2 linked regions of the Arabidopsis thaliana genome follow. The protein of the gene in region 2 purifies or fractionates together with the protein of the main gene of each other region. This does not show direct contact. Each region holds a gene or a part of one and is shown on either strand. Other genes may lie near its edges.

Region 1 (8,346 bases), on a different chromosome or scaffold from region 2:
TTCATAGTTCTCTTATAGTATAGTTGAGCAAACCCGGAAAAGAAAAGTCACCTCCTCACAAAGTGTCCAATGCCTCAGCTGGATCGTTCTAGGGTTTCCACGACCAAACTGATCCTCTCTGTGGCCGTCGAGGGCGACTACTACGGTGGATCATCAGCCGCCGTTCCCTTCAAATGGGAATCTCAGCCCGGAACTCCAAGACGACTCTCCAAACGATCCTCCTCTTCCGGTTTCAATTCTGATTCTGATTTCAATTTTCCGGTTTCAGCACCACTAACACCTCCTCCTTCTTACTTCTACGCTTCTCCATCCTCTACAAAACACGTAAGCCCTAAAAAAACCAACACTCTCTTTAGTTCCTTGCTTTCCAAGAATCGTAGTGTGCCATCTTCTCCGGCTTCTTCTTCTTCGTCGTCCTCGTCTTCAGTTCCATCTTCTCCATTGAGGACATCTGATTTAAGCAACAGAAGAAGATCAATGTGGTTTGAATCTGGTTCGAGTTTAGACTACGGATCGAATAGTGCTAAATCTTCTGGATGTTACGCTTCCCTTGTCAAGGTGTTGCTCAGATCATGTTAAATGATTCTGCCTTTTTTCTTATATTTAACTCTCTCCTATTTTCTTATTAATTTTCACTTCTTTTTTTTCTTTTTTTGTAATCTTGGAAATAATTTCTAAAAACTATGTTTCATCGATTCATATCATCATCTCTATGAATCAATTGATTGGATCATATGGCTTCTATTTTTGTCTTTAAAAGACGTGCTTTTGTATAATTAGAAATTTCGACAAAAACATACTATAACGAGATCAGATCTAGTATACATGTTGATTGTTGAGTATTGTTCTAGTTGTGTGCAGTCATGTGAGACCACCATAGAATTAACAATTAACTTTCACTTACGGTGTTACGGTCAAATCATTTCATTAAAAAAAAAGTTCTCAATGATTGAATTAACTGTTATTCTATTTTTTAGGTTCGTTATGCGGGAACACCCGTCACGTGACACCACATGAGCACTTCAAAGCTGCGCTCTAAATTGTATAAGGGATACACTTCTCGTTTGCAGATTTTCAAATTAATCATATCAAGTTTATGGTTCTGATACAAAATTTTCACAGACTTTGGTCAAATTTCAAATTCAAAATCATTTTTCCACCCTCGGCCGTAACACAATACATAATAACTCAAGTGATTTCTCCAAAGATTTAAAAGACGAAATTGCCCTCTTCTGCAGCAGAAGATAATGCTCCATCTTCCATTTCACGGAGGGCAGTTGCAGTTGAATCATCTATTCCCAGCAGATATTGTAGCCTCAAAACTTTTTCCGGTGCGGGTTTGGGATCACTCTTTGAATAAATAGCATATAGATCAGATAATTCCTCTGAGACCTCCCATGACATTGGCTCAGCCGGCACAGCTTTGTCACATGCAAGCAAATCATTCAGCGACAAGACCTGTAAAACCAAAAAAAAAAAGCATACATACATACACAATTTAGACCCAGAAGCTGAAATATCCATGTTTTCTGTCACGATAAGAGAGGGAAAAGATGATTTGCATACCACTCCTTTAGAGTTTCTCTGCCTGAGTAATGCCACGGCTTGGACCAGCGAATTCGATAATCTACTCTGAGCGAGATCATGGACAACTCTTTTGGCTTTTTCCACATCAATACTGAGATCGGATGGGATTGTCTGGTAGACTTCGGTTTCATCGAATTCACCAGTTCCTGATGAGAAGATGTCACTCACTGTCTTCTTGAATAATTTCTCTCTCAGACTCACAGCGATCATGCTGTCCAGGCTGACATTTGCCTCCTTGAGCTCCCGTATCTGCTTTATGTTCAGTCTTCCTTGGTTAACAGCGGTCTCTATCGCGTTTGCCATTTTTGTGGTGGTTATATTCTTGATAACCTTCTCGGCTTGTGGCTGAGGCAAACCAACTTGTTTTTGCAACTCGTCTAGCTGCTCTACTCTAGCCTTTGTCAATTGCCCATCAGCTAAAATCACTTCAGCTTGTTGCCTAAAAGCCTGCTCGGCTAAACCTACGTGAATGTTGACTATTTCTTTCGAACTCAATCCGAGAATCCCACCAAGCTGATTTAGAAGCAAGTACTCTGAATCGTCTCTCTTTGTTGTGATCTGGGCGCCAAAAGGGATTCTTGTTACCTCTCCAGTTACACAGTAGAGCAAGTATGTTTTGTAGAGATCTATTCTGTCCCTGTCGGGAAGGTCATCTTTGAGAGTTATCTCAGTCTGGCCAGGCTTTCCCATTTTCTCAGCGAGTTCCTTGTCGGGTCTTGTCTTTCTGAGCGATTCAAGGGATCCCCATTCTTCATCTTCATCATCTTCTTCTTTCTCTTGAACAGGGTCCTCCTCAGGTGCCTTATCAGAAGATTCTCCCTTGATATCAGCCACCATTTCAGTCACAACCAACGTGTTGAAAGCAATCATCTTCTTGAGCTCCTTTGCTGAATCAGTACGGTTCTCGGCTGCTCTTGCTCGTCTGATATAGTTTGTGAAAACCCTACGGACCTGCATCAATGAAGGGATTTGATTTTCATGTCTTGCTATGAGAAGTCAGAAAATTTTAACAAATCCTAATACCAAGCATGGAGAAAGTAAATAGTGTGATACTCACAGCTTTGCTAGCAATAGACATGGCAGTCTCTCTGGATAACCGAAGACCATGTGCAGCCTTTCTAACTGATTTGCGAGTTTCAGCATCATAACCATCCACTCCAGAAGAAATGGCATCCCTGACAACCTGGAAAGATTAAACAAAAAGGTAATTAGAGGTAAAACCTTTTGGTAACAAAATGCGAAGGCAGAGAGGGAAGCAGAGGGAAATTGCAGTGCCAAGACCCAAGACCATGAAAAAACCCTTGATAAAGGGAAAAGGGAGGTGATAACTGGATTACCTTTTCAAATATGGTTCCACAGATTTCTGCATGAGCTGTATCAACAGTTTGCTGGGGAATACACAACATAACTCTTAACCTTAATAAAGCAGCAACATTGTCATCGCTCAGCTCTCCATCAGTAACACACTGTTGAAGCTTCTGCCGATAGATTTCTGAGGAAGAGAAGGTGCTTGTCAGATGATTGGGAAAAAAAGACCAAATAGATACTCAAACTGTAAAATAACAGCATGTAACCCACTGAAACACCAGACTTGTTAGAAGTCTGTTAAGAACCAAATCTACAACACTAAAAGCTAGCTTAAAAGGATAAGGAACCCGCAAGTTTACAAGCCATCAACTAAATTGATACCCATGGACACATCTTACATTTGGGCGATTATGTGGCAATTCCAACTGTATACCTCATGCATAACATAAAAACATAAGATTTCATTGTGAACAGAAGGTTCGGCTTATACCTTCATGGATTGCGCCTGCCTTCTGTGCATCAAAGTGCAGCTCTTCGCAGAGCTTTTGAAGGTATTTTGCTTTACTGTCTTGTGCTTCAAGGTCACCACTAGAAACAGCGTTAGCAAGTCTTTTACGGTAAGACTTGGACGTAACATCAACACTAATAGCTTCAGCCTCTCGTTTTCCCAGACCGAGTATGTTTCTAAGTTGGCTCATTGCCACGAGCTACCATACAGTAGAAAGACAATTAGAAATGGAAAAAAACATGCGACTGGGATAGAGGACACAGCATCTGAAAACACTTACTCTCAAAAAAACTTGCAACTAAGCTTTAGTACATAATATCTTATACAAAACTGAGTATACCTTATTTTCTTCTAAGCGCCCACCAGATAAAGCATCTGTAACATATGCTCTATAAAGGAGCTTTAAATCATCCATTCTCCTCTCAAAATCAGACTCATCACCTAAGCCACATAGATCCAAGGTTGAGAGCCAATAATTTTTCTTCAGAAAAGAGAAGGTCAAAAGCATCTTCACCTATCAAAGAAATAGGGCCAACCCCGCGTGCAAATTGATCTGCCTCTGAATGACTTTTCAAGGAAACTAGCAGGTTGTTAAACTCCAGTACTTTTTCAAGCTCTTCCACGACAGATGCCAAACTCTTCCTGGAAAAAATCAGGTCGTTAAAATGACATGCATTGTAAACTACTATAAACTAGACATACTAGATGATCCAATTTGTTTCCACTATTAATTATCACAAGATACAAAAACGCCTATAAAATTAAAATCTCATGACTTTTTTTTAAATACTTATACTATAAGACAATTCACAAAAGCAAAAGAGATCATATGACCAATCAGTTTTTGCAATAACCAAAACTCAAAACTAAAGCCAAAACTTCAATCTCTTTTTTCAACCCGACCAAACTCAATGTTCAAGCAAAGGAATACATATACCCAGCTAAAGTCATAACTCATTGGTATAAGAAATAAAAAAGTTAAATGTGTAACCAAACTGTTCACATGGATAATGATTATTCTATACGATTTTTCTATGCATGATTCTGTAAGCAATATGTTAAAATGATTTACGCTGCTCGTGTGCGGGATTTGAGTATGCTGAGTGCCGATGAAATGTTCTCTACGACTACTTTTCTCGTATGCTCTCTAAACAGGTCTTCAGCAAGCTATGAGGGAGAAGAAACTGTCAGAAGAAGTACAACCAGAGATAGCAGGAAGTCAATGCCACAAAGAAATAGAGTACCTCATCAGAGAGCTTGAATGATAGTTGTGATTTTCTAAGGTCCACAAGGTTTTCTACGTTAATATCTGCAAGAACATGTTTAGAAACATAACCATGTAAGTTTCCATGCATTAAGCTGACGAAAAAGCTAAGTCATATCTTTTTTTGGTTGTCAAAAAGCCATATCTATTATCAATGTTAAATGAGAAGGGACCATTACAGTCGCATGCGAAGTAACAATTAAGGTTGGTATTCAGACAACTTGCTGATAAACGAATATTACAAAACCCAATGGACAAAGAAGTGCCACAATAATCAATATAACCAAGTCAAGCAAACTCAAACCCGTTCTACAAATGTAACATTACTTCCCATCTCAAAATGTAAAACATGAACAACATTACCTCTACCAACTAATTTTAACCGTTCGGCATACAGCTGCTTTGCATTTTCACGAATAGCAATCTCAACCTAGAAATGAGGTCAAGACATTAGCACAGAACTTCAGATTACCAAGAAGGAGTGAGTTGCCAAAATGAAACTTCCATAAAACAACTATTGCGCAAAATCAGAAGTATGAAAAAAATTGGAAATGCCTACCTGAGCATCTGTGACCTTCAATACTCGCTTCCAAGGTAGAAGGAAGGATGAAGCATCTCCAAACACAAGAGCTGAAACATATACAAGCCTCATAAATGCCTGCACTGGAAGCATACAACTTGTGATCACGCTTGTGCTCTCTTTCGAACAATCCTACAATAAACTTAACAAATACTAGGGACTGGCGACTCACCCGACGCTGTTCTGCATCACCTTCACGCTCCCCAGTCTCAAGCCTTTGCCTAAAAATCCTGCGACCAATCTAAACAAAACCAAGGAATTGGTGATTCAGCAATCAAGATCCTTCTGCATCAACTACAAAAAGGCTAACGGCTAATTCAAATGAAGATTAAGAATCTAGAAAGCACCTCCATGTGCATGGCAGCTGCATCAGGTTCGTCTATCCCTAAAGCATTTTTGAACTTGACTATCTTCGCCACTTCATCCCCTTTAAGAGACTGTCCTTCAGTTGGAAGCACGGAAGTTACATACCTAAATCAAGATTAAGATGCAAAGATTACTAATGAATTCCCCACACTAAGAGAAAAGATGAACACAGTATCCTTTGTTGACTCACCGGCAATAAATATCACAAATCTCAGCCTGGAATGCTTCGTCTCCTTTGTTGACACCGTACCTGCAACATATAAGAAGGATCGTTTAAGCAAACTTTTGTTTATAAATCCCAGACACAAATTGACAATTAAATGAAGCACTCACCTATCAGCGATCTTTTCTACATCATCTTTCGTCACAGAGGCAGGATCTTCGAATTCGGCAACATAATTATGCAAACTGATAGCAGCTACCTCCGGTACAGCAGAGTTCAACGCATATACGACAGCTCCACCGGCGGCTCCAGCAACAGCAGCCCCACCAAAGGCAATATTCCTGGAGCCGGCTAAACGGAGCCCAAGGCCGTAACCAGTAGCTAAAGACGCCGCTAATACAACAGCTGAAGTCGCTAGCCTCACCGGCGGTGTCATTTTCTCAACAATCGGTTGCAATCCAGTGAGCTCCTTCTTATTCCCATGGATACCGGGATTCTTCGCCTGCGTAGATACTGATAGTTGGTCGGAGGAAGCAGCTGAGCTACGAGGGAACGAAACTCGATAACGACGGCGAGATAGACACTCAGACTTGGAGAAACGGTGAGGTAAAGTAGGTAGGAAGTGAGAAAGAAGAGGAGACCGAGGAGAAGGTGAAATTGGAGCGTTAATGGCGGTGACGAGTGAGGGATTCATGGTTCCCTCTACTGAGAAAGATCCGAGCAGTCGTTGAAAAAAAGAAGAATCGTAGGGTTTAACGAAAAACAGTAGACAACGGAAGAAGATAGAGATGCGAACGAAGAAAAGGGGAAAGAGATAGGGCCTAACAAAACATCAAAATCCCCTTTCGAACGTCCAGACGTTTTTTAATAATATTATAAAACTACGTGTTGTTTTACTCTTCGGTAACGGTAAGATGTTTACATAAAAAAACAAATTAGACGCCTTGTGTAAATTGGAAACGCCACGATTTCTTCTCTCTTCTTGGCTCTTAGGGCTCGCTAAATTTTCTCAGGGCTGTGACCATCGACCATCGTCGTCTTCGCGGAGCTCAGTTGAAAGATGTTAACGGCTGATATACCACCAAATCAGTCAATCTACATAAAACATATCAATGAGAAGATCAAGAAAGAAGGTAATGCTTACGAAATTCATATAATTGCATCGGTGATTTTCTAAGAGTTTTTGCAATGCTTAAGTAGCTTGGTAATGCTTGTGTGAGCTTCTCTTGAATGAGTTGTCTGAGTTTAAAGTTGCTTAATTTGATGTTTACGAAGGTTAGATTAGATGCATTTAGAGTTATCTTTCTAAGTATTAGGGATTTAGAATTTCTGTCTAATCTTAATAGACCTGAACTAGAGATACTCTAACAAAGGTGCTTTATTTAAGTAATTAAGTAGGAAAGGCGATTGCTTTTGCCATGAAATTTGTTTAGATTGTTTGATTGAAGTCAATGACCTTAAGTTCTTTAGCTGCTGCTTTTGTTTGTCTAAGAGTAATGCTGTTCAAGCAGATCATTGTTTAATGTTTCCACTTGTTTTTTTCAGAGCTGAAGAGGTCTCTTTACTGTTTGTTCTCTCAGTTTGGAAGATTACTTGATGTGGTTGCGTTAAAGACTCCTAAGCTCCGGGGACAAGCATGGGTTGTTTTTACTGAAGTCACCGCTGCTAGCAACGCTGTCCGTCAGATGCAGAACTTTCCTTTCTATGATAAGCCTATGGTACCTTTTTCCTCTCTTATGTTCCAGGTTTATCTATCCCGCTACCGAAAAATGATTTTATCTTGTTATGTGAGACTATAAGCTTAGAAAGTTGCAGAGATTTACTTGGAGGGAAAATTGAGTTTGCTTGCTGATACTTGTTGTTATATAAAATTGAAGGAAGTACAACGACATTAGATGTTGAGGGTATATCATTACACAAGTGATTACTAAGTAAAAGACTAGAAAAAGCTAAATGCAATATTATTATTCAAATCGTGATGTGTGATCTCTGTGGGTGCAGCGGATACAATATGCAAAATCAAAGTCAGATTATGTTACTAAAGCCGAAGGGTCTTTTGTTCCAAAAGAAAAGAAGATGAAGCAAGAAGAGAAAGGTTTAAACTTTCGTTTCCATCACAAGTTCAGATCTTTTCAGCTCATTTCATCTGTGTTTTACTTCGCATCTGATGTTTAACAAAACTGCACATCACTTTCAGTTGAAAGGAAGCGACATGCTGAAGAAACTCAACAACCAAGCATGCCTAATGGCGCAACTACTCAGAACGGAATGCCTGTGGCAATTTCTCTTTCTCGCATCATTCCAACAATACAATATTATCTTCTGACAGACGTCATTATCGCAACTTAGTCTGTAAATCCTTGTTTCCTAATACCCGTCTCTGTAATTTCACAGCCTCCTTTCCAGCCGAGTGGGCAAGACACGATGCCACCAAACAACATACTCTTCATTCATAATCTTCCCATTGAGACGAATAGTATGATGCTTCAGCTGCTCTTTGAGCAATACCCAGGATTCAAAGAGATAAGAATGATCGAAGCAAAACCCGGAATTGCGTTTGTGGAGTATGA
Region 2 (7,808 bases):
CCAATCCATAGCAACTCTATAATTTGTATGTTTCTGTTCACTTTTCAAGAAAAAGTTCATAATTTTTTTGATTCAGGGTTTAGGGTTTCATCTACCACTTTCTACCAATGCAAAGCTTGTAACTTTGAGGTATACATGGCTGCTTCTGATCAACACCGGTCTCGCCGTCACGACGAGAGCTCTTCAAGACCCAACAAGAAGAAGAAGGTAAGCAGAAACCCAGAAACAAATCTCCTCTTCAATCTCAATTCATGCTCCAAGTCCAAGGACCTCTCAGCTGCATTAGCACTTTATGATGCAGCCATCACTTCCAGTGAAGTACGTCTCAGCCAGCAACATTTTCAAACGCTTCTGTACCTATGCTCAGCTTCCATTACTGACATATCTCTTCAATACCTTGCCATTGACCGTGGTTTCGAGATTTTTGATCGTATGGTTAGTTCGGGGATAAGTCCTAATGAGGCATCTGTTACTTCAGTGGCTAGACTGGCTGCTGCTAAAGGTAATGGTGATTATGCTTTCAAGGTTGTTAAGGAGTTTGTTTCTGTTGGAGGTGTGTCGATTCCTCGTCTGAGGACATATGCGCCGGCTTTGCTCTGTTTCTGCGAGAAGTTGGAGGCTGAAAAGGGTTATGAGGTAGAAGAGCACATGGAAGCTGCAGGTATTGCATTGGAGGAGGCAGAGATATCGGCTTTGTTGAAGGTAAGTGCTGCCACGGGTCGAGAAAACAAGGTTTATAGATATTTACATAAGTTGAGGGAATATGTTGGCTGCGTTAGTGAAGAAACTTTGAAAATTATTGAGGAATGGTTCTGTGGAGAAAAAGCTGGTGAGGTTGGTGATAATGGAATTGGTTCTGATGTTGGGATGCTTAGAGAAGCTGTTTTGAATAATGGAGGTGGGTGGCACGGGCATGGGTGGGTTGGGGAGGGTAAATGGACTGTAAAGAAAGGTAATGTTAGCTCAACAGGAAGATGTTTGAGCTGCAGTGAGCAGTTAGCTTGTGTAGATACCAATGAGGTAGAAACACAGAAGTTTGTGGATTCTTTGGTGGCTTTGGCTATGGATAGGAAGACAAAGATGAATTCATGTGAGACAAATGTGGTCTTCAGCGAGTTTCAGGTTAGAGATGGGATTCTCTTAGCTTGGTTATAATAAGTCTTGGACATTAAATATTGCATGATAAGCATTTAGAGATAGGTACACTGGTTGGAGTTTTTGCTGCGAATTGTCATCAATCTTGAGTATTCAAATGTCGATATTTGTTGAATGTTGCTATCTTATTTGGCAGGACTGGCTTGAGAAACATGGAGATTACGAAGCTATAGTAGATGGAGCAAATATTGGGCTCTACCAACAAAATTTTGTAGATGGCAGTTTCAGTCTTTCACAGGTTCTCCCATCTTTTCTGGGGTACTTGTTTTTCTTCCTCCATATTTTTAGAATCCATTCCTTGCTATACTGATATCACATACATGTGGGATAGAGCAGCTTGAATCTGTGATGAAGGAACTTTACCGTGAAAGTGGTAATAACAAATGGCCCCTAATTCTATTGCACAAGAGACGGGTCAAGACGCTTTTAGAAAACCCAACTCACCGGAATCTGGTTGAAGAATGGATTAGTAACGGTGTCCTGTATGCAACTCCACCAGGTTCCAATGATGATTGGTATGAACTTTTAGCTTCTCTCAGCACCATTATTTCGACAAAAAACACAAACAATGTTTGGTTACTACACTCATCTTTTGTTTTTTTTACCTTTCCAGGTATTGGCTGTATGCTGCTGCTAAGCTCAAGTGTTTGCTTGTGACAAATGATGAGATGAGAGACCACATTTTTGAACTCTTAGGGAGTACTTTTTTCCAAAAGTGGAAAGAAAGACATCAGGTAAAGTTATATAAACTTATATACAATATGTAACTTTTTATACTAAAAGTGCAACTTTGAGAAGTCTACAATTAGAACATTTGGTTTATGGTTTTGGTACAGGTCCGGTATACTTTTGTGAAAGGTAACCTGAAGCTTGAAATGCCGTCTCCTTTTTCGGTTGTCATTCAGGTTTGTTTACCATCTCAGTCCTTTTTTTCTCCGGTTTCGATAGTTTCTCAATTACGTTTCGACAAAATCAGGAATCAGAGAAAGGGTCATGGCATTTCCCGGTCTCATGCGAAAACAATGAAGAGTCTTCAAGAACTTGGATGTGTATTAGCAGACAAAGTATTTTAGATTCACCTAAGAGTAATGGGAAGATTCCTTAGTAGCTGCACCAGCTTATTGAGTTCATGTATCATTTGTTATGAGTTTTCATTCTTTGTCCTTTGAAGATTAACACAAAAAACGTTCATTGGTTCTATAATAAGGGACTGAACTTTTCTCATTAGAAAGAACACAAAAAATTGTAGTAGACCAAACCGAATCAGACCGGGTTGGTTAAACCGAATTGACGCACGAGGGTTTTCTATTCCCTTTCACGGCTTCACTCACTCTACTTTATATAGTCCACGTCAGCATCATTTCACGATTGCATCAACGAGTCATTATCAACCGTACGATGCTTAAACCCAAACTGATCAGGACCGTTGATGAACGTCTCTTATCTCCTTCCCCGTCGTAGTCGCAGGCTCGCAGCCGGTAAAGCGCATGAAAGGATCTTCACACTTTTTCACCTTCTCTCTATTTCTCTCTCTCTCTCTCTCTCTCTATCTCTAACTTCTGGTAAGGCTTCTCTCCATTTCTCTTCTTCTTTCTTCGTCTTCTTTCTTCTGTTTTGGTTTTCGTTTCCTGTAATCAACAAAGTTCTTCTTCCATGTTTGGAGATCCCTATCACCGCTTAGACCTGTGTTTAAGCGATTTGGTTAACTTCAATTGAATTTTAGTTTCTGGAATTGGTAAGGGATAAGGATTCTAGGATTCGTGGTGATTAACTCTGATCTAGGTTTCTTTTAGCTGTGTGCTCGTTTTTTTTTTTTTTTGGTTGTTGGAATTTATATTGATGGTTAAAGCGTAGTTGGTAATTGGAGTGATTTCTGATCTCTGATTATTGTATTTGTGGCTTTTGTTTCCCGTAGCGGTGGTGATCTAGAAAATGGGAGATGGGACTGAGTTTGTGGTTAGGTCAGATAGGGAAGATAAGAAGCTTGCTGAGGATAGAATTAGTGATGAGCAAGTAGTGAAGAATGAGTTGGTGAGATCTGATGAAGTAAGGGATGATAACGAGGACGAGGTTTTTGAGGAAGCGATTGGTTCAGAGAATGATGAGCAGGAGGAGGAGGAGGATCCAAAACGTGAATTGTTTGAATCTGATGATTTGCCTTTAGTGGAAACTCTTAAAAGTTCTATGGTTGAGCATGAAGTGGAGGATTTTGAAGAGGCAGTGGGTGATTTGGATGAAACGAGTAGCAATGAAGGGGGTGTTAAAGATTTTACGGCTGTTGGAGAGAGCCATGGTGCGGGAGAGGCTGAATTTGATGTTTTGGCTACTAAAATGAATGGTGATAAGGGGGAAGGAGGTGGAGGTGGTTCTTATGATAAAGTTGAATCGAGCTTGGATGTTGTTGATACCACTGAGAATGCTACATCAACTAATACTAATGGTTCCAATTTAGCAGCTGAGCATGTGGGTATTGAAAACGGAAAGACTCATTCTTTTTTGGGAAATGGAATCGCCTCTCCTAAAAATAAAGAAGTGGTGGCTGAAGTTATCCCTAAAGATGATGGGATTGAGGAACCATGGAATGATGGCATTGAAGTCGATAATTGGGAGGAAAGAGTTGATGGCATACAGACAGAACAAGAGGTTGAGGAAGGTGAAGGAACAACTGAAAATCAATTTGAGAAACGGACAGAAGAAGAGGTTGTAGAAGGTGAAGGAACAAGTAAGAATCTATTTGAGAAACAGACAGAACAAGATGTTGTGGAAGGTGAAGGAACAAGTAAGGATCTATTTGAGAATGGTTCAGTATGTATGGACAGTGAGTCCGAGGCAGAAAGAAATGGTGAGACTGGTGCCGCCTACACAAGTAATATCGTTACTAATGCTTCAGGTGACAATGAAGTATCAAGTGCTGTGACTTCATCTCCATTGGAGGAATCTAGTTCCGGGGAAAAGGGAGAGACTGAAGGGGACAGTACTTGTTTAAAACCAGAGCAACACTTGGCTTCTTCGCCGCACTCATATCCTGAGTCAACTGAAGTTCACAGCAATAGTGGCTCCCCTGGGGTAACTAGTAGAGAACACAAACCAGTTCAAAGTGCTAATGGAGGACATGATGTTCAGAGTCCTCAACCAAATAAGGAGCTTGAGAAGCAGCAAAGCAGCAGAGTACATGTAGATCCAGAGATTACAGAAAATTCACATGTGGAAACAGAACCTGAGGTAGTAAGTTCTGTTTCACCAACAGAGTCTAGAAGTAATCCTGCGGCATTACCACCTGCTCGTCCAGCAGGTCTTGGTCGTGCTTCTCCTCTTTTGGAACCTGCATCACGTGCTCCTCAACAGTCTCGCGTCAATGGGAATGGGTCTCACAATCAGTTTCAGCAAGCTGAAGACTCTACCACTACAGAGGCTGATGAGCATGATGAGACCCGCGAGAAGCTCCAGTTGATCAGGGTAAAATTTTTGAGGCTTGCACATAGACTAGGGCAAACCCCGCATAATGTTGTTGTTGCTCAGGTTTTATACAGGCTTGGATTGGCTGAGCAGTTGAGGGGCAGAAATGGAAGCCGTGTTGGTGCTTTTAGTTTTGATCGCGCTAGTGCCATGGCAGAACAGCTTGAGGCTGCTGGACAGGATCCACTTGATTTTTCTTGTACGATTATGGTTCTCGGAAAAAGTGGGGTTGGTAAAAGTGCAACGATCAATTCTATATTTGATGAAGTGAAATTTTGTACTGATGCATTCCAGATGGGGACAAAGAGGGTTCAAGATGTTGAGGGTTTGGTTCAGGGAATTAAGGTACGGGTGATTGACACTCCCGGTCTCTTACCTTCCTGGTCTGATCAAGCCAAGAATGAGAAGATCCTGAATTCTGTTAAGGCTTTCATCAAGAAGAATCCACCTGACATTGTACTATATCTTGATAGGTTGGATATGCAAAGCAGAGATTCTGGTGACATGCCTCTCCTGCGCACCATAAGTGATGTTTTTGGTCCTTCGATATGGTTTAATGCCATTGTGGGTTTGACTCATGCCGCTTCTGTTCCACCAGATGGCCCAAATGGCACTGCTTCTAGCTATGATATGTTTGTTACACAACGTTCTCATGTCATCCAGCAGGCCATTCGCCAAGCAGCTGGAGATATGAGGCTCATGAACCCTGTTTCTTTAGTTGAGAATCACTCAGCTTGCAGGACTAATCGGGCAGGCCAGAGAGTATTACCGAATGGCCAAGTGTGGAAGCCACATTTGTTGCTACTCTCATTTGCATCTAAGATTCTAGCAGAAGCAAATGCTCTTTTGAAGTTGCAAGATAATATTCCAGGGAGACCATTTGCAGCTCGGTCCAAGGCTCCGCCATTACCATTTCTCCTTTCATCGCTTCTGCAATCAAGACCACAACCTAAGCTTCCTGAACAGCAGTATGGTGATGAAGAAGATGAAGATGATTTAGAAGAATCATCAGATTCAGACGAAGAATCAGAGTATGATCAGCTTCCTCCGTTTAAGAGTTTGACTAAAGCTCAGATGGCTACGCTTAGTAAATCTCAGAAGAAGCAGTATCTCGATGAAATGGAGTACCGAGAGAAACTTTTAATGAAGAAGCAAATGAAAGAGGAAAGAAAGAGACGTAAGATGTTTAAGAAATTTGCTGCAGAGATTAAAGATTTGCCTGATGGGTATAGTGAAAATGTGGAAGAGGAGAGTGGTGGACCTGCATCAGTTCCAGTTCCTATGCCAGATTTATCTCTACCTGCGTCTTTTGACTCTGATAACCCTACTCACCGCTACCGGTACCTTGATTCCTCCAATCAGTGGCTTGTTAGGCCAGTCCTGGAAACTCATGGGTGGGATCATGATATTGGTTATGAAGGTGTGAATGCAGAACGGCTCTTTGTTGTAAAAGAAAAAATACCAATATCTGTCTCAGGTCAAGTGACAAAAGACAAGAAGGATGCAAATGTGCAGCTAGAAATGGCCAGCTCGGTTAAACATGGAGAGGGTAAATCAACTTCCCTAGGTTTCGACATGCAAACTGTTGGAAAGGAATTGGCTTATACTCTTCGAAGCGAAACGAGATTTAACAATTTCAGGAGAAACAAGGCTGCAGCTGGTCTTTCTGTAACACACTTGGGTGATTCGGTTTCTGCGGGGTTGAAAGTCGAAGATAAGTTTATTGCTAGTAAATGGTTCAGAATCGTAATGTCTGGTGGAGCTATGACTAGTCGGGGAGATTTTGCTTATGGTGGTACTTTGGAAGCTCAGTTGAGAGATAAAGATTATCCGCTTGGTCGGTTTTTGACTACTCTTGGACTTTCTGTAATGGATTGGCACGGTGATCTTGCTATTGGAGGGAACATACAGTCTCAGGTTCCCATTGGACGTTCCTCTAATTTAATTGCTCGTGCTAATCTGAACAATAGAGGAGCAGGGCAAGTAAGTGTTCGTGTTAACAGCTCCGAGCAGCTCCAACTTGCTATGGTTGCGATTGTTCCTCTCTTCAAGAAGCTACTTAGTTATTATTACCCGCAAACGCAATATGGACAATGATTAAGAAACATTTAGGCTGATTTCACTTCCATCCCTTTGCACTGGAGTATTAGGAATCGATTAGTCACAAGAACATGTTAGAGTGAGTTGAAAAGGTACACAATCTGATCTCTATATCTTACTGTGATTACTGATTTCGATATTTTCGTTTTCTTGGAAACCCTCTTAATGGATTTTGCTGAGCGTTGATGTGCTTTGGTTTTGAACAGGATCTGTCTGGTAGCAAGAGACCAATTGTTGGAGGAAAGTTTGTGTCTTGAAATAGCCAGAACATAACACGTTCCTTGTCTGATATATAATAGCTCAGTGGTTTGTTTTTCTTCTATTTCTAAGACCTTGTGATCTCCCTTATGAATGAAGCATATCTACTTTTGTTCATGTCCCTCTCCAATCATTGATGCATTATATCATAACAACATTTAGTGCTCACAGTGCTAGAACGTTAGGCTTTGTAACAACTAAGTTTAATGCCGAGTATAAATAGGGATACAATAATAGTCCATAAATTCTCCAATGAATCCAGGTATAGACTTTTATAGTATTACAAAAGGACCCAAGAACAATGTAAAAGAGAAAGAAAGAGTGTAGAGTATATAAGTATTGAAAACACATTCAATCAATTGCAGACTGTGAATCTGCAGGTCCCGGAATTAGCCTTGATGAAACGAATAGCAGTCATGAGGACATCGTGTTCCGAATTCCCGAGGAGAGCCAGATTGGTATATGTGATCACAGCGACGGAATTATAAGGAAATCCTAGAGAGTTGTATGAATTGAGCAATGCAGTTGTTGCCTCTCTTAGAAGTGTCTTATAGGCTTCTCCTCGCCCGTCAAGCGCTTCTCGTACTGTCATATCTGTGCCGTATATTCTCCCGGCTACTAGCCCAAATGCAACTGCGACCTTTGTGTCTGGACCTATCGCCCTCCAGTAGCATCTGTACTCAGGTTTCATCCACAACCTATATCACAAAGCCACAATGTTAAAAATTATCTGAAACAAAGGTGTGCATAATAAACAGATATGAAAGTAAGACCGAACTAAGAACCAAGCTTAGCCTAACCAAACCGAATAAAGTCCAATAGTAAGATTATACTACCAA

The links. The genes of interacting proteins can lie anywhere in the genome.
Region 1: the proteins of TOC132 (region 2) and TIC110 purify together in Arabidopsis thaliana (affinity purification with western blotting, with the first as the bait; one study listed by BioGRID). This does not show direct contact.

Annotation. Positions count from the first base shown.
Region 1 is NC_003070.9:2,129,094-2,137,439, forward strand, and holds TIC110 (translocon at the inner envelope membrane of chloroplasts 110), read right to left. Parts: upstream 6,611-8,346; 5' UTR 6,471-6,610; coding exon 5,947-6,470; intron 5,864-5,946; coding exon 5,804-5,863; intron 5,719-5,803; coding exon 5,595-5,718; intron 5,489-5,594; coding exon 5,420-5,488; intron 5,326-5,419; coding exon 5,227-5,325; intron 5,098-5,226; coding exon 5,031-5,097; intron 4,713-5,030; coding exon 4,648-4,712; intron 4,571-4,647; coding exon 4,476-4,570; intron 4,046-4,475; coding exon 3,918-4,045; intron 3,845-3,917; coding exon 3,744-3,844; intron 3,603-3,743; coding exon 3,386-3,602; intron 3,080-3,385; coding exon 2,925-3,079; intron 2,771-2,924; coding exon 2,645-2,770; intron 2,539-2,644; coding exon 1,567-2,538; intron 1,459-1,566; coding exon 1,210-1,458; 3' UTR 960-1,209; downstream 1-959. Other genes in the region: AT1G06930 (TPRXL), read left to right, coding at 70-579; AT1G06960 (RNA-binding (RRM/RBD/RNP motifs) family protein), read left to right, coding at 6,837-6,909, 7,322-7,494, 7,778-7,871, 7,974-8,053, 8,171-8,346. UniProt on the Arabidopsis thaliana protein: Involved in protein precursor import into chloroplasts. Forms a voltage-dependent cation-selective channel at the inner envelope of chloroplasts, which specifically responds to a transit peptide.
Region 2 is NC_003071.7:7,210,389-7,218,196, reverse strand, and holds TOC132 (multimeric translocon complex in the outer envelope membrane 132), read left to right. Parts: upstream 1-2,579; 5' UTR 2,580-2,717; exon of another isoform or gene 2,718-3,070; 5' UTR 3,071-3,087; coding exon 3,088-6,708; 3' UTR 6,709-6,803; intron 6,804-6,917; 3' UTR 6,918-7,138; downstream 7,139-7,808. Other genes in the region: PRORP2 (proteinaceous RNase P 2), read left to right, coding at 136-1,122, 1,292-1,393, 1,492-1,670, 1,769-1,889, 1,992-2,060, 2,132-2,260; AT2G16630 (Pollen Ole e 1 allergen and extensin family protein), read right to left, coding at 7,325-7,667. UniProt on the Arabidopsis thaliana protein: GTPase involved in protein precursor import into chloroplasts. Seems to recognize chloroplast-destined precursor proteins and regulate their presentation to the translocation channel through GTP hydrolysis.